Linked DNA regions of Saccharomyces cerevisiae S288C. The protein of the gene in region 1 interacts with the protein of each later gene in a biochemical or structural test. Each region holds a gene or a part of one and is shown on either strand. Other genes may lie near its edges.

Region 1 (5,104 bases):
CTATTCGATCATAAAAGCATCATAACTGCACCAGCCAAACCTAGGGCTCCTGGGATTGCTCTTGCGTTAGCAGCATTAGAATTTGTCTCCACATCATGTGTAGAAGAAACCGATGTTTCTGAAGTAGGCTTCTCGATAGTGCAAGGACAGTTGGTAATTGTTAACGTAGTTGGGGCAGTAACAGTGAATGTAGCGCCATTCGTTACGAAAGTCGTTGGTTCTGGGCAGTAAGTAGTGAATTCACTGACAACTTCGTACTGTGTTGCAGTAGCAGTCGAGTTGTAGAATATTGGAGCGGCGGATGATGGCTCTGGTGCTGGCGTGGCTGTATCGTTACCGGCAATAGTAGCATCGCTTGATGGTACCACGATTACAGAGGAACTAGAATTAGATACCAATCCGAGAGCCGTAGAGGCCATGGCCAATGATAGAAGGAGCTTAGCGTTAGACAACATTATTAGTAATAGTACTGATTTTATTTTTGTGTATTGGATTCTTTTTGAGTAGAAAGTAAGATCAAGAGAGTGCAAGTGAAAGACGAACCTGGCAAAAGTAGGCCGACTTTTTATATAGATATACTTACACTTTTCCAGCTAACAGGGATGGAAAGCCCTCATTTGGGCATCTGGGAACTTCGAGAAGTTTTTTTCTTCATCTGGCATAAATTCTTCCAGAGGAGGCTATAACAATAGATCTTCTAACAAGCCGAGGGGTGAGGGGAAGGAACGTCATCGCCTAAATGGGATATCAATTAACCAGATTAGGTAACTTGCGTCCCGGACCTTCAAATAAATACTCGCGGGATTCGGGTTCGAGCCCCGATAGGGGCCCCCAGTCCCGGCATGGCTTTAACCCCATATGTGCTCCTCCAGAGATTAAGCACTAAAGGCTAGATGAGACAAGCACTAATTTCAATGAATTAGCTTTGAATATGATATTTCTTCTTCCCCCGTATTCAAAGAGTCTACTCCTCACGGTTACAATTGAAGATACACTAAAATTCGGTCCATATTGACACCGTTGATGAAGCGTCACTTCTGGATTTTTAGCATAAACTTAAAATATCTTGCATTGTGTACTATTACAGTGGTCCAAAGACGTTCTCCTCTCGCCTTGTTCCAAAATCCCAAAATGTTATGTATGAATGAATGAGGGAAACGTCAAAAATTTTTCATTACCTCGCCACAATTATGCCTTTTCTTGCAAGTCGCGCTCGCGTCAATAAACACATGATGAGTATGTGTAAAGTGATGATGATGGTATGGTAACAAATAGTTGAGCTGAACAGATTACAAAAGATACTATCGAAGTCCTGTGTTCGAGAGGGAGAATAACGGTGGATATCACGTTTCATATGCATAAATTTGATCTAGAGCTCTCGAGAAGAGCGAACCCTTTGCTTTTTAGTGCAGAACGATACGAAGAGTATCCATTGAAATACGATGAATTGAAACAGTACCTTCTCTCCCAAAATCCGTCACATCCGCATCACAATAGTAGACCATACACTTCCATTGACTATTTTGACTATCTTCTGTATAGAAGTAAAAATGACGAGTCAGAAATAGACCTTGACAAAAAGCTAGTGTCTGAGTTCGCCCTATACTACGTTCAAAAAGAGCACTTGAACTCTGATGATCTAAATCCCACACTCAATGAGTTGCTGAAGCTGCAGCCGAAGTCTGCGGATTGGTATGAAATGATGCTGAGGATCCTTGAATCCATTAACACTACAGGGATAGACCAGCTTACGAAGGAAAACAACAACAGTTTCCCAAATTCTAAAAGAGCGAGGTCTTCCACTAATATGGGTGGCACAGATAAATTTAACAAGGGTGCTTACCATACTGACAAAGCTGATGACGATAAAAATGAAATACTTCAAGAATTAACGTCCTTCTTGATGTCAAACTCCATTCAGAAAGGCATTGATATCAAGCCAATACCATTAGATGACCCTGTGAAGTTCTTGAAAAATGGGATAAATTCTATCTTGGATACCTGCGTCAGTCTAGAAAAAAATACGTCATCACCACCTATTTCGCCTAACGCCGCTGCAATTCAAGAGGAAGACTCCTCTAAAAAATTAGAAGAACTAGAAACGGCATTTAGTGATTTGCAACTGGCACACAATTTCTTGACTAAGCAATTCGAGAATGACCGTGCCGAATATGTACAAGATATCGAGAAGCTAACGCGGACTAACAGAGAATTACAAGATAAGTTATTAAACAACCACTCGAATTTGAGTAAAACTGAAAAGAAATTACACGAATTGGAGCAGGAAAATAAAGAACTTGAAAAAGCCAACAACAAGCTGAATTCAAGCAGACATAATTTCGGCATGTCATCACCAGCGAGTTCGCCGGTGACTTGGGATCCAAGTTCACCTTCCTCTGTAGGAAGCCCCACAAGCGGTTCTGGATCACGTTCACTTTCAATAATGACAAGTGAGTTTAAAAAAGTGCTTACGAGTACACAAAGAAAGTATGAAAAAGAATTGTCGGATGAGCGTGAACATAGATTCAAGCTGGAAAGGGAGCTTGCTTTGCTGAAAAATGCAGAGGCAAACACCTCGCTGGCGCTTAATAGAGACGATCCACCAGATATGCTATGAATAAACATCTTATTATAAAACATTGATATATAAATATAGAATAAGAAGAATATACTATAAAAAACCGTTTGATATTACAATTACTTCTTCTTCCTTTTCTTTTATTTCTTTGAGGACCATTAATAATTGAGAAAATGGAACAAATAGAAAACCTTTTTTTCTTTTCGTCTACTCCTTCCCCATCACATTTTTCTAAATTCACTTAGCACAGGGTATATAGCTTCAAAAGCTTGGTAAATTTCTTCCCTTTGCTTTGCACCAGTAAGAACAATCTTTCCTGAAACAAAAATTAACAACACAATTTTCGGCTTCACCATTCTATAGATCAAACCAGGAAACAATTCTGGCTCATAGGAGGAGAAAGTACCATGACTGAATGCTAACCCTTCTAGACGTATAGGGAATTTAACGTCACACGAACCGACAATATTTTGTATTTTGAAGTCTGTGAATTTAGCAGCAAACCCGATTTTTTGGATAATTCTTGCATATTTTCTACTGGCCAGCTTTGAGTCATCCTCACTTTTTGCACCGGTAACAACCATTTTCCCTGAGGCAAAAATTAAAGCTGTAGTTTTTGGCTCTCTAATACGCATGATGACAGCAGCAAAACGCTTGGGGTTATATTCTGCATTACGGGCATGTAGCGCAACTGTTTTCAGATCTAACCTGCACCCCAAAGTCACAGTTGCCACAATGTTTTGTAGTGTTGGAACAATACCTGATGTGGCGGAGGTGTCTTTTTCAGATTCTGGGGCAGCTCTTTTTATGTCCTCTTCACTCTGGAAAGTAGTTGCTGGTTTTGTACCATCTCGATTCTGGTTTTCCCATACTTGTCTGGTATTTGGATCAAACACTATCTTGTTTGCCTCTTTAAACTCCTTTAAACGTTCCTCATCGGCCATAATTAAAAAAGTTTCTCTTGATACACCTGTTTATGTTGGACTAGAAAAGAAAAATAAAATGCAGCCTTTACTTCCTTGCTTCTTCCGCAGAGCAGTCTAACTAGTAGTCGTTTTATTTCTTATGTGTTATCTTTCCCCCGATCTTATAGTCCAAAAAAAACAGTAACTACTGTAATTTTCACGTCCCTTGTTTACTCTTACCATCAAGAATACCTATCAAGGTAAAAAAAGTCATTAGTAATCCTTTGAAGCCATGTTTTATATGTAGATCTTCAAATTTTTTTCTTTTCCCAAAAAGCTCGCGTAAGAGAAACTTGGAAGATAACTATTTACGGCTTCACAATTAAAATACGTAAAGAGATGAGTTAGATCTATCAGCAAAGGGAATCCCGACATCTCAGCTATCAGAGGGGAATCAGTATTGGTAGAAATTGAACGATTTCGAAAGAAGTACAAATTCATGGAAAATCTTGGCGACAAACTTAGTATTTCACAAGTATACCACTTAGCACAGGAATACAGAGACCATGCATATTCAATTGCGAATAAAATCGGTTCTGAGGAAGGGTTGAAGCAGTATTATGGCCTCATGAACATGTCTATCCAGATGTTTCAGCTATTGAAAACGAAATGTACGCTTTCAGTTCTGGAGGATAGTAAGGTCACGTTTGAGATGGTGGAGTTATTGATACAGGAGACGTATAATTTTGACCTAGCAGAGCTTTACATTTCCAGTTTGAAAGAACGGTTACAAACGCACCAGAGCGACACAGATTTGGTAGAAGAGATCATGCGTTGCGAGTTTCTGCTGTTACATGACTTGCCACTTATGAGAGACAGTAAGTTCCACTATAAGATTGCACTAAGAAATTGCAATGAATTAGTCCAGTACATGGTAAATTTGCAGGATGAGTTGTATCAAAATTGGGCATCCGTATTCCAGTATGTCGGCGTGATGCTTTGCATTAAGCTGAAACAGCACCGCAGGGTGAAGACGAGTTTTCATGGGCTACTCTCGCAATGTCGGGAAAAGTCACAATGGAAATGGTTTCTAAATCTGTGTTATGTGAATTACTTGCTAAATGAGAGGTTCCCAATCCCCGAGGATGCTCTGCAGGAGCTGCGAAGCACGGAGCTGCACACGGTGGGGCCTGAGCTATATGCATGGAAGTTGGCATTAGAGATGGTAATCCAGCTTTGTAAAGACGGGAATATTACGGACCACTTGAACGAATTCAAAAATTTCTTTGACACAAACAAGCAATCTCTAGTCACTAATGAAGGTAAGGGATGTGTGATCAAAATCATGCCAAGGATAGCGCTGAAAGTAGAGTTGCCTATGATTTTCCACTACAAAGAATTAAAGAACATACTGTTATTATTGCAAAGTGTCAGCTACATCGTGAACTGTTATGACGAAAAGGGCAATTTTTCCAGGAAGTTCCTCCCCAAAGTCTATTCTACAACGCAGAAACTGATTAAGAACATTGCCGCTGGCGGTGTTTCGATGAATGAGCTGGACTCACGAATCCAGACATACAAGAGCATTCTTGAATTCTGTGAGTTTTACAAAGTGTGGGAA
Region 2 (6,977 bases), on another chromosome or scaffold:
TTCTCTGACTTCATTTCTTCCTCTAGTGGCGGTGGAACAGCATTCTTCGTCTTCGGTGGTTGTTCCCTTTGTTTGCCCCTTGGAGGTAATTTTGGTGACGTTGATGTCGCAACATTTTGTCTAGGTGGTAATGGTGGCGAAGATGTAGTGGGAATTGCGGAAACCTCGTTCTCGCTTGAGTTATCACCTTTTTCATTTATGATTTGTGTGGGTATAGGTGGTACTTTCCTAGCAGTTTCTGAGGAAAGATTCTCTGCTGTTACGGGCCCATCTTCTATAGCAGCTTTTTGTTCCTTGTTTTCATTCAAGTTTATTCCTGCGGCTACCTCATTGGTAATATGAATCTGGTTATTATCATTTTCTGACGACCTTTCTGGGGTTACTTCACTACTTATAGAAATGTCGTTCGCATTTGCAGCTGTCGTAGTACCAGATTCGTCATCGAGAAATTTACTCGAGGATGATTTCTCACCTCCAGAATTTTTTCCAGTTACTTCCCTATTTTCTGGACTACTAACAACCTCTTTCGTATCAGCGTAAACCTTCTCATTCTCTTTGACTGCATCATATTCTTTTTCAATATTCAGCCCATTTGGGGCTTGCACATCCGTTGTCACATCTTTTTCAACATCCAATGGCTCATTTAAATCAATTTCAGAACTAGGTTCTCTCGTTTCTTGCCTTTGTTCATTAACGTTTTGTTCAGTGATTTGGGTGTCTTCATCACCAGAGATCCCAATAGGTTCTTCTCTTGATACATTTGTGGGTGCTTCATGGCCTAAACTTTGTTGCTTGTCATTTAGTTCTTTGTCCGAATGGAGGGGCTCAGTTGGAATTATAGCTATCTCTTCATATTGGTCTGATGGCGTTGATTTTATCTCTTCCTCCATTGAACCCAAATTATTCGAATGATTATCACCTTCGTGAACTTCAGAGGCGATCGTATCTGTATTTTTCTCAATAGATTTGTCTGAAGACATTGCTCTATTAACGTTCTACTTTACACTGGTGGTAGGAGCTGTTTTATTTTGAGTATTAACTAATCAATCTCAATTACGTTCGATCCAAACCCTTTTTTTTCGTTATATGAGCGAAGCTTCTGAATAAGCCCTCGTAATATATTTTCATGAAGAATTTAGGTCCAAAAAAAAGATGGGCATTAATTCTAGTCATTTAAAAAATTCTATAGATCAGAGGTTACATGGCCAAGATTGAAACTTAGAGGAGTATAGTTACATAAAAGAAGGCAAAACGATGTATAAATGAAAGAAATTGAGATGGTGCACGATGCACAGTTGAAGTGAACTTGCGGGGTTTTTCAGTATCTACGATTCATTTTACTCTTTTTTTGGGTTTGGTGGGGTATCTTCATCATCGAATAGATAGTTATATACATCATCCATTGTAGTGGTATTAAACATCCCTGTAGTGATTCCAAACGCGTTATACGCAGTTTGGTCCGTCCAACCAGGTGACAGTGGTTTTGAATTATTACCATCATCAATTTTACTAGCCGTGATTTCATTATTCATGAAGTTATCATGAACGTTAGAGGAGGCAATTGGTTGTGAAAGCGCTTGAGAATTTGTTTGAGTTGTTATGAGGTTCGGACCGTTGCTACTGTTAGTGAAAGTGAAGGACAATGAGCTATCAGCAATATTCCCACTTTGATTAAAATTGGCGCCACCAAACAAAGCAGACGGGGTCAGTGGCACTAATGATTGCAGCTGTTGCTGTTGCCCTAGAAAAGGCGTGACTGAGCGATGCGAAGGTGTGCTTCTTGGTATTGTCACTGGAGAGTTACGAGAGGGTGGACGGTTAGATAACAGCTTGACTAGATCACTGAAACTTGCTCCTGATTTCAATGGCACAGGTGAAGGCCCTACTGAGCCAGGAGAAACATATTTAACACTGATATTGTTGACATTTTCCTCCGGAAGAGTAGGGTATTGGGCGATAGTTGCAGAACCGACAATATTTTTAATGGCGCTACCATTACTATTGTTATAACTGATATGCGGTAATGGGATTGCACACTGTGATAACAGAAACGGCGCACATACCTCTTCCAGTACTTGAATGTATTTTTCACAAGTCTGGATTTTAAAAGTGGCCAGTTTTTTTAATAGCATCAGAACAGTGTTAATTTGTTGTAATAATTGTGCGGTCTCGTTATTCTCAGCATTCGATTTTGAGTTTGAGAGTAGAGTCTTTATGGGTACTAGGACTGCATTGAACAAGTAATAAGAACAATTCCAGGCAAAATATGGGGTGACATTATGATTGTCCATATAGCTACTTACAGACATAACAGTTCTTTGTGCTGCATCGCTTAACATGATGGAGCATCGTTTAACTTCATAACTTTGATGATCATTTTGATCCTGTTCTAGTTGTGACTTTTTCTGGGTAAAATTAGTGAAAAAATCTCTTAATACATAAATGATAAGAGACAACTGTTTCCACTTCAGTTCGAATCTTGTAAAGGATAGCCAAGGGTGTTCCTTCAACAAATTGGTTAGAGCGGTGGTGGAAATATCCATTTGTAAAAACTTTGGTGCCTGTCTCGAAACCTCCTCAATCTCATTACAAATCATCAAGCATTTTTTTGCACATATAGGACTTTTTTCTGCAGTTACTGTTTTGTCTAGTTCATAGATTTTTGTGAAAACTTGTAAGAGCCTTGCTGTTTCAATGATGCCATGATATATGGTGGGACCTGTTGTGGTACGCTGCACATCGTCGACAGAAGAAGGGAAGGAGATTGTATTCTGAGAAAGCTGGATGGATCGACCATAAAGCAGGGACAATTGGATCTCCCAAGAGTAGACAGACCACCAAATTCGGCGTCTTTGTTCCAGAATGCTGCTATCACTGAAGGACGAGGGGAGGTCCCTATTCAAGCCCAATGATATGGCCATTCTTATGGAAAAGCTGTGAAAATTATAGCTAGTATTTGTTTTCTGCCTCCACTGTGTATATCGCGACAGAAGATGTAGGGCTGTCACCAAAATTATGGAACCTGACTCGAAGACCTTGCTCGTCAAATGAGATTTAGCATTTTGATAGTAAAAAACATCTATATCAGTAGATTCCCCCTCTATACACCAGGCTCCAATGGCTAATATGCAGTTAAAAAGGATTTGCCATTGATCCTTCGACGCGATTTCAATCTGGTTATTATACAACATCATTAGCGTCGGTGAGTGCACGATAGGGCAGTAGGGGTGAAAATTATTGAGATAACTTTGAAGTAAACGGGATGTTGTGGATCTAGAAGCCAACGTGTATCTATCCGTAATCATGGTCGGGAGCCTGTTAACGTTAGAGTTCGTGTAATTTTCCGGTTTAAAGCCAATAGATCGAAGAATACATAAGAGAGAACCGTCGCCAAAGAACCCATTATTGTTGGGGTCCGTTTTCAGGAAGGGCAAGCCATCCGACATGTCATCCTCTTCAGACCAATCAAATCCATGAAGAGCATCCCTGGGCATAAAATCCAACGGAATTGTGGAGTTATCATGATGAGCTGCCGAGTCAATCGATACAGTCAACTGTCTTTGACCTTTGTTACTACTCTCTTCCGATGATGATGTCGCACTTATTCTATGCTGTCTCAATGTTAGAGGCATATCAGTCTCCACTGAAGCCAATCTATCTGTGACGGCATCTTTATTCACATTATCTTGTACAAATAATCCTGTTAACAATGCTTTTATATCCTGTAAAGAATCCATTTTCAAAATCATGTCAAGGTCTTCTCGAGGAAAAATCAGTAGAAATAGCTGTTCCAGTCTTTCTAGCCTTGATTCCACTTCTGTCAGATGTGCCCTAGTCAGCGGAGACCTTTTGGTTTTGGGAGAGTAGCGACACTCCCAGTTGTTCTTCAGACACTTGGCGCACTTCGGTTTTTCTTTGGAGCACTTGAGCTTTTTAAGTCGGCAAATATCGCATGCTTGTTCGATAGAAGACAGTAGCTTCATCTTTCAGGAGGCTTGCTTCTCTGTCCTCTCTTAAAATGATGGCGTGCATTACGTAGACACAATCTGGAGATGAAGCTGAAAATCTGGGGAAGGATGACGGAAAAAATAGCTCATAAAACAGAAAAAGGCCCGAAGTAACAATAGGAAAAATTAATTGCACTAAACAAAGAAAACGATATTATGGTGATTAAACTGATACAGAATTATGTAAATACTTTGAAATTATAGAAGGTTTGTAGAATAAAAAAAATACTGGGCGAATGCTGTCTCAAAGGACGCGGACGTTTTGAAACTTCTTGCCGCTCACGCACCCAAACCAATCGCCCCTCTGGGGCCTCCATGCAATGTTGTTTATCTCTTGTGTTTTATTGGCATACATCATGTTAGGAGTCTCTAGTGTCTTGCACACCTGCTTGCTGTTGTTGTTTAAACTTAAGGGATCCTCGTTTAAACCGGATCCTGCGCCACCGTCTGTCATCTCTGTGTCGCCGTCAGGGTCCTCCAAGGAAGTTCCATGAATACTGGGGGATTTGCTACCTGCAGCGTTAATTTCCATAAAGGAGCTGTTCAAGTCCCAATAGAGCACCTGGCAGTCATCTCCGCACGAGAGCAAAACATTGCGCTTTGTGGGATGCCATTTAATCCCGTTTACCGAAGAACCGTGGCCTTGTAAGTTTAGTATAGGGGATTCTGGGTTCCTCATATCTAGAATAATGATTTTGTTCGAGTCAGCTGCAAAAGTGGCCAACACATTTGGGTCATACGGTGATGGCTCCAGCCTCAATAAGGCGTCCGAACCTTTCGACGACGGTGTTATAGTACCCGCAGTGGCTCCAGACACTGAGGAAGAGGGAGGCTCGTAAATAATTGTACTGTGCGCAAGCGATCTTAAATCAAATACTCGTACACTACCGTCCCCACCACAACTAGCAAATAATTGGGTCGATTTTGTCAAAAACCTTACATCAAAAACTTCGCTGTCGTGAGCGATCAATTGGGTCTTAACGTAGTGACTGCTTTGCAGATCCCATACAATGCATGTGGTGTCGATGGAACTTGAGATTATCAAGTTAGTATCGACCGTGTTCCAGTCAAATGATGTTATTGGTGGGAAAGTGCCTATGACCTTCATGTCATCTGCGGCCGCGGGATTGGCGGGGTGCTGTCTATTGTATTTACACAGAGATAGATTTATTTGTTCTTGGAACTGTCTTTCCTCAGGGCTAACGCTCCAAATCCGTAAGGAGTCAGAACACGTCGCGAGTTTCCTTGGATACAATTGAGAGGGGACCCATTGGATTTTGCTCACAGGATAAACCACATCTGCGTCCACTACGCTTTCCCAGCTCAGTAGATCATTAGAGTGCAGAACCTGCAACTTATTTCTGCTGTCCTCTTTGTACGAACCCAAGCAGACGTAGTCGTCGGCGCTCCAATCGAGCCCAAAGAGTGGATAGTGTGATTGATATTCGCACACGGAGGCCATGGAAGGGTTCATCAGATTGCTTACAACCGGAATATTTGCAGCATAGCCCCTCGCCTGCTGTAACTGAGAATGATTTGGTGAAAAAACTGGTGGCGAGAAATCTAACGGTGAATACATCGGCGATCGACTTGCATAGTACGTGGCACTTAGGTCACAGCCACTATTCCTTTTGCTGTTACCGCCATTGGTAGTGTTGCCAGACATTCCAAAGGGAGATGGGCCTCTACCTTGATCTTGTGCCGCCGAGGAAGGCCCATTAGTACCACTCAAGTAATTGTTCTTGTTATATGGCTGCCGCTGCGATGAGCCAAACGATATTGAGCTCCTTTTATTGCCATTGTGAAAGGGATCCATTTGAAGGGCGTGTATTTGCTCCTATAATTCCTTTCCTTCTTGTTGTCTGTTGACCCTTTAGGTTGTATGCCACTCTCGAAAACCTAAAGAACTGATTACTAAATTATTTATACAAGATTTCAGATGACAAGATGGTTCACCCCTTGCCCCTGGTCTTCCTCCCAGTAATTATTCATATTCCATTTTTTTTCATAAACGCACGCTAAGGAAAAAGAAGAGACTGAAAATTCTTGCATATTAGAATATAAAATGATATATACTACATTTATATACATCCTTAAACTGTGAAAGAAAGAATAGCGATACAAATGTCTAGGCAGTCCCTAGGACAGTGCCGGAGTTGTCATTGTGGAGAGGCAATGGTGTTTCTGTGGACATTAACGGTTCGTAATCTTTAGTTCTGTCGATATCCTCATCTCTGTAATACTTAATTCCCCAAGGTATTAATCGAATTAAACCGTCTAAACTTTTTTCGATTTTGGTGATGATCCATCCTGGTGGAGTGATCTTGTTAAACCACGATTCCTTGTAGCCTATGGCGTAACCGACACATAAGCCGAAAAAATGACCCCAGAAACTGGAGCCAGGTATAACGACGGCAATTGCGACTAATAGTACTAGGGGTGTATATAATGTCGGAATTGAGTAGTCTGTGCGAAAGATCCTTGTTCTAGGGCGGATCTGTGATTCTTTAAAACTATAGTATGCGAATAAGGTGAAACACCACCCACTGGCGCCTGCAACTAATGCTTCTGGATATAGCAACTTACCCAACAAACAGTACAGAATTCCGGCAAATAGAGCACTCAGGTTCAAAAAAACACCTGTGTACACAGTCCCATGCGTTTCTTCGAAGAGATTCAAGGGTGCCCAGATGGCTAGCACATTGAACAGTAAATGAGGCAATGATAGGTGAATTAAAGGATAAAGCGATAGCCTGCTCATTTGCAGTTTGAACAATGACTCTGGCGCCAACGACAGGTCTTCCCTTAGGGCAAAAATAAAACTTAACAGGTAAATAGCGGTTAGAAATACCACAAGGCCTGTGGTCAACGCAGCTGGTGGATGACCACCGGGAAAAACGTACGACTTCCAATTCATAGCACGACCAAATAGCACAACCTAACAACCAGAGTGAATTGCTGTTCTCAGTG
Region 3 (5,816 bases), on another chromosome or scaffold:
CGGAGGCTCGGTTGCTTACGGAACTTTTAAGGTTGAGTTTGCCTTCGGTACCCCTTTCCTTTCTGCTGTCAATTCTTCTAGAAGAACTGGGTTTATGCTTCGGGAGTAAGCTCCAACATACGCTGTAAAGAAGACAGTTGTCATTTATTTATTATTATGTAATGTAATTAAGGTTGTCTGTCGTGATTAACGGAGCCAGTTTCGTATAAAGACGAGTGTAATTAGCAGTTTTCAGGAATCAAGGCGCCAGCTTCGTCGTCGAGAAACCAAGTTACTTTGGTTCCGACCATTTCATTAACCAGCACACTAGGTAGTTCGCTATTTTTTACGATTAACACGTCATGCATGATAGCCTTTTTAGCAGCTCCCCTAACGAGAAAGCACACACTTTTAGCCTCGGCTACTACTGCTAATGTAAAGGTGATCCTGTCCTTGGGTGCCTTGGGCGAATTATTACACCATAAAACCTTGCGGTCCATCTCTTCTACAAGGTAATTAAATTCAACCCCGGGAAACAACGAGCATGTATGTCCATCTTCTCCGCATCCGAGTAAGATTAGGTCGAATGATGCAGGCAGCATGGAAGCGTATTCTTCGGCAATCTTTCTATTGGCCGTTTCACCGCCACCGATTAATGATTCGTTGATAGTGTATACAGTGGGGCCTAAGTTCAATTGGTTGCCCTGATGCACTAGCGGGTCCAAAACTGTTTTTTTGAACTGACCATAGTTACTTTGCGGATCCTCAAATGGAACCAATCTTTCGTCACAGAAGAAGATTCTCCATTGTGGCCACTTAATATGTGGAAAAATGTTTTTGTCATTTACCAAACTTTCGTACAGCGCTTGGTTCATCGATCCTCCACTGATGGCGATATTGAACACTGCATCAGCGTCGCCCGTTAACGCCGATTCTTGCTTTTCAAGGATAAACTTGCCGAATTCGTGTATGAGGCTTTTCTTTTCGCTAAACCTTTGTAATTTCACCATTTTTCTTGAGGTGGTTGTGGATTATTTGATGAATGGCATTCTTTGTTTGGAAAACTGCTGCGATAAGACTACGTTCTTCGTCATTTCTTAAATATTATGGATCTTACAATTTTCGCTGCTTAGGGGGGGATTTTTTTAATTTTCAAGGGATTTCCATCCCTTGCGAAGGCAAGCGATCAGTATACGTAAATCTCTAACTAGAACATTTTCAAGTATTGACAGATATGAAAAAAAAAAAAAAAAAAAAAATTCTATATAATTACTTACAGTGCACATAAATGTATGCTTAAACGTCCACCCGTCCCAATACCTCCCATTCTTGAACGGGCCCCACACAGTTGACCACTTTAAACGTTCCTGGGATATTCCAAGATAGCGATGAAGATACGTCAAAATCCCATCTCATTTGCACTTCATTGGACCCATCAGCGTTTCCGGAACCCTTACGTTTCTCTCTTGGAACTAGTTGCACGTCTAGAGCATCTTCAATTCTTTGTTGAACTACTCGCAATGACGCCTGACTTACCGGATGAATATCCGAATAAAGCAATGAGACGTGAGGATGGAATTCCTCGTGCACCCAAGTGGCGGCACGGCTACTTCGCGTCTCAGGATCGATCTCTACGTACATCTCTCTCATGACTTGTGCGACCCCATAAAGTATTTTGTTCTTGTTACACTCGAGCACAATTTTCTTGAAATATTGTTTACCTACACTGCATCCATTGAAAGATACCAAAGGAGCTGCAACAGCATGGGATACCTGTCCCTTACGTCCTTTCTTTGCTGTTTGGTGTGACCTTATCGATTGGATGGCAGCAACACAGGAGGTCAAGATTTTGTTGACATCATCTTTACTATTGCACACCAAATGGGACGTTACCGTCACATGAGGTTCAAAAACTGGTGAATCTGGGAACAACGTTTGAAACGAAAATATAAGCATCTGTAATGTCTCGTAAGCAACTGATCCTTGTGGTGGACAATACCATAATGCTATTGCCATTTTTCTGTGGTTACTGATATTAGCAAATTGAAGTATCGCGAATTCCCAAACTAGAATAATTACAATTGATGGTAAAATAAAATGATAAAATAATCTGATTAGATTCTTGGTATCTCAAAAGTGACTTTGATAACTTCTTGATTGTTTGTGCCCCTGCTTACGAATTGGGTTCTTATTAAACTTCACCTGCATCGCTTCTCCATCGGATCTAACCTAAAAAAAATAAAAACCCCCCGGTAAGCACTTGATCACGCCTACAAAATCACTTAGTGAACAAAGGAAAATAGATTGTTTTTAAAGTTGTGAAGTAGTGAACTATGGCTTCCCACATACACATATATACTGATACAGATGCAATATAACATTTAGTGTTAGAAAAATTTGCTTCTATCTTGATGACATTGAATACTCTTGGACGTAAAAAAAGACATCCGATTAAAGTGGAGGTAATCTACAAGAAAAGTTGTTCTTCCCCTCATTAGAAATCTTGCAATGGTCACGGCCGTCGCTATCAAAAATCAACGAAGTGAAGTGACTCTAATTTTTGTCTATTAATGTTGCGATGGCCTTATTTGCTATTCTAAGGTTTTCGCGAAGTATCAGGTATGATAAAAAAAATCATATTTTTGATCGCATCAAGAACAATCCCAATGGTAAAAACGGTAATAAAAAAGAGTCCATAGTCATATACCAATGCCAGTGTGTAAGAACTGTCACGGAACCGAATTTGAGAGAGATCTTTCCAATGCTAACAACGATTTAGTTTGTAAAGCTTGTGGTGTTGTCTCAGAAGATAATCCTATCGTCTCTGAAGTTACATTCGGTGAAACAAGTGCAGGTGCTGCTGTAGTACAAGGTTCTTTTATCGGTGCAGGACAAAGTCATGCTGCATTTGGTGGTTCTAGTGCTCTAGAATCTAGAGAAGCCACATTGAACAATGCAAGAAGGAAATTACGCGCCGTTTCTTACGCATTACATATCCCGGAATATATCACAGATGCTGCTTTCCAATGGTATAAGCTTGCATTGGCTAATAACTTTGTACAAGGTCGTAGGTCCCAAAATGTTATCGCTTCATGTCTTTACGTTGCATGTAGAAAGGAAAAGACGCATCATATGCTGATCGACTTCTCTTCAAGGTTACAGGTGAGTGTGTATTCCATAGGAGCCACATTTTTGAAAATGGTAAAGAAATTACATATCACAGAATTGCCGTTAGCGGATCCTTCCTTATTCATTCAACATTTTGCCGAAAAATTGGATCTTGCTGACAAGAAGATCAAAGTGGTAAAAGATGCCGTAAAATTGGCTCAAAGAATGTCCAAGGACTGGATGTTTGAAGGACGTAGACCTGCAGGTATTGCCGGCGCATGTATTCTACTAGCTTGCAGGATGAATAATTTGAGAAGAACTCATACAGAGATCGTCGCAGTTTCACATGTCGCCGAGGAAACTTTACAGCAACGGTTGAACGAATTCAAAAATACAAAGGCTGCTAAACTTTCAGTTCAAAAATTTAGAGAAAATGATGTGGAAGACGGTGAGGCTAGGCCTCCCTCCTTTGTGAAGAACAGAAAGAAAGAAAGAAAAATAAAGGACTCTTTAGACAAAGAAGAGATGTTTCAAACAAGTGAAGAAGCATTGAATAAAAATCCAATTTTGACGCAAGTATTAGGAGAACAAGAACTGTCTTCCAAGGAAGTCCTGTTTTACTTAAAACAATTTTCAGAAAGAAGGGCCCGTGTTGTGGAGAGGATTAAGGCTACTAATGGTATAGATGGTGAAAATATATACCATGAAGGTTCTGAAAACGAAACAAGGAAACGCAAACTTTCTGAAGTTTCTATCCAGAACGAGCATGTTGAAGGGGAAGACAAAGAGACGGAAGGGACTGAGGAAAAAGTCAAGAAGGTAAAGACAAAAACATCAGAAGAAAAGAAAGAGAACGAATCTGGGCATTTTCAAGATGCCATTGATGGTTACTCTCTAGAAACAGACCCATATTGTCCTCGCAATTTACACTTGTTACCCACAACGGACACATACCTTTCGAAAGTTAGTGACGACCCAGATAATTTAGAAGATGTTGATGATGAGGAGTTAAACGCGCACCTATTAAACGAGGAAGCTTCTAAATTGAAGGAAAGAATTTGGATTGGTCTGAACGCAGATTTCTTACTTGAACAAGAGAGTAAACGTTTGAAACAGGAGGCAGATATTGCCACAGGTAACACATCAGTGAAAAAAAAACGTACGAGACGTAGGAATAATACTAGAAGTGACGAACCTACAAAAACTGTGGATGCAGCAGCAGCTATCGGATTGATGTCAGACTTACAAGATAAGTCTGGTTTACACGCTGCATTGAAGGCAGCTGAGGAAAGTGGTGATTTCACAACTGCTGATAGTGTCAAGAACATGTTGCAGAAGGCAAGTTTCTCCAAGAAGATTAATTACGACGCCATTGACGGTTTGTTTAGGTAACGTTTAGGTAATCAACCCTAGGAAGGAAAAAGGGAACGGAAATAAAGACGCAATACATTTGGTTTTGGCTAAAATATATAGAACATGAAGTGCAAAAGAATTAAAGGTGCATTAACTATTTAATATGTATGTGATTATATAAATCTAAAATCTCAATGTCGTAACAATCACTGTTCCATTAAAAAAACGGGTAAGGTGGAAATTTCAGTTTTTTTTTTTTTTCTTTTCTTTTGCTTGATCGGCTAAAAAATGAAAATTTTAAACTCATCTCATCGCAGATAACCATAACACGCTTAACAGATAGAACGTTCTACCACTAAAAAAACATATCAAACGTCACTTTTTTGAATAAGTAATAATAGTTAAGGAGGAAGCACAAGACGCACTGAATATACCAATCAAGGGCATCAACAATGGGTAGAAGAAGTAGAGCAGCTATGCTCCCAACAAATATCATTCTTTTACAGAATTTGGTAAAGCGTGACCCAGAGTCCTATCAAGAGGAGTTTCTTCAACAATATGCACATTATGAATCGCTAAGGGACATTTTTATGTTAAATGGGCTTGCTGGAGGTGATTCTGCAGCTGCCACTAATGGGCTCGATGTAGGAAATGGATCTTCTACAATGGCAGGTACTAACGGTACCACCATGAGCACTTCAACTTCGCAACTTATTGAATTGGTTGGCTTCGTATCTCAAGTCTGCTCATGTTTTCCTCGTGAAACTGCAAACTTCCCGTCTGAATTAAAGCAGCTTTTGCTGGAACACCATAAGTCCTTGCCATTTGAATTGAAAGAAAAAATCTTAAGTTGTTTGACGATGTTAAGGAATAAGGACGTCATTACTGCTGAGGAATTAATTCAAAGCTTATTTCCTTTATTGGTTGCTTACTCTTCCCATGGTAATTCACTCGGCGTTAATTCACACGCCAAGGAATTGAGGAAAATCATTTATACAAATTTAATTTCTTTATTAAAAAGTTGTAATACTAATGGTAAAAATCAAAAATTGAACAAATCTACGCAGGCCGTTTGCTTTAATTTGTTAGATCAACCAGATTCCCAGGGAATCTGGGCCACAAAATTAACCAGAGAACTTTGGAGACGTGGTATTTGGGATGATTCAAGAACAGTAGAAATTATGACCCAAGCAGCATTACATCAGGATGTTAAGATTGTCATGTCTGGTGTGATGTTTTTTTTGGATGCTGACAGAGAACGTGAAGAAAATTTTGAAGAAAATTCCGAGGATGAGGATGGGTTTGATTTAGATGCATTAAGGCATAAGATGCAAGTCAATAAAAAAACGGGTAGACGTGGTAAGAAGCTGGAGAAT

What was found. Proteins that work in one complex are often made in the same cells at the same time.
Region 2: the proteins of SPT15 (region 1) and GAL4 form a complex in vitro, tested with the Saccharomyces cerevisiae proteins (5 studies listed by BioGRID).
Region 3: the proteins of SPT15 (region 1) and BRF1 form a complex in vitro, tested with the Saccharomyces cerevisiae proteins (6 studies listed by BioGRID, with this or other methods).

Annotation. Positions count from the first base shown.
Region 1 is NC_001137.3:463,721-468,824, reverse strand, and holds SPT15 (TATA-binding protein), read right to left. Parts: upstream 3,523-5,104; coding exon 2,800-3,522; downstream 1-2,799. Other genes in the region: SPI1 (Spi1p), read right to left, coding at 9-455; PEA2 (Pea2p), read left to right, coding at 1,355-2,617; cohesin-loading factor complex subunit SCC4, read left to right, coding at 3,983-5,104. UniProt on the Saccharomyces cerevisiae protein: General transcription factor that functions at the core of the DNA-binding general transcription factor complex TFIID. Binding of TFIID to a promoter (with or without TATA element) is the initial step in preinitiation complex (PIC) formation.
Region 2 is NC_001148.4:78,374-85,350, forward strand, and holds GAL4 (galactose-responsive transcription factor GAL4), read right to left. Parts: upstream 3,984-6,977; coding exon 1,338-3,983; downstream 1-1,337. Other genes in the region: GTPase-activating protein GYP5, read right to left, coding at 1-980; YPL247C (uncharacterized protein), read right to left, coding at 4,252-5,823; putative rhomboid protease RBD2, read right to left, coding at 6,136-6,924. UniProt on the Saccharomyces cerevisiae protein: This protein is a positive regulator for the gene expression of the galactose-induced genes such as GAL1, GAL2, GAL7, GAL10, and MEL1 which code for the enzymes used to convert galactose to glucose.
Region 3 is NC_001139.9:981,145-986,960, reverse strand, and holds BRF1 (transcription factor TFIIIB subunit BRF1), read left to right. Parts: upstream 1-2,688; coding exon 2,689-4,479; downstream 4,480-5,816. Other genes in the region: 6-phosphogluconolactonase SOL4, read right to left, coding at 222-989; CPD1 (2',3'-cyclic-nucleotide 3'-phosphodiesterase), read right to left, coding at 1,276-1,995; SDA1 (Sda1p), read left to right, coding at 4,893-5,816. UniProt on the Saccharomyces cerevisiae protein: General activator of RNA polymerase III transcription. Interacts with TBP. Binds to Pol III subunit C34 and to the TAU135 component of TFIIIC.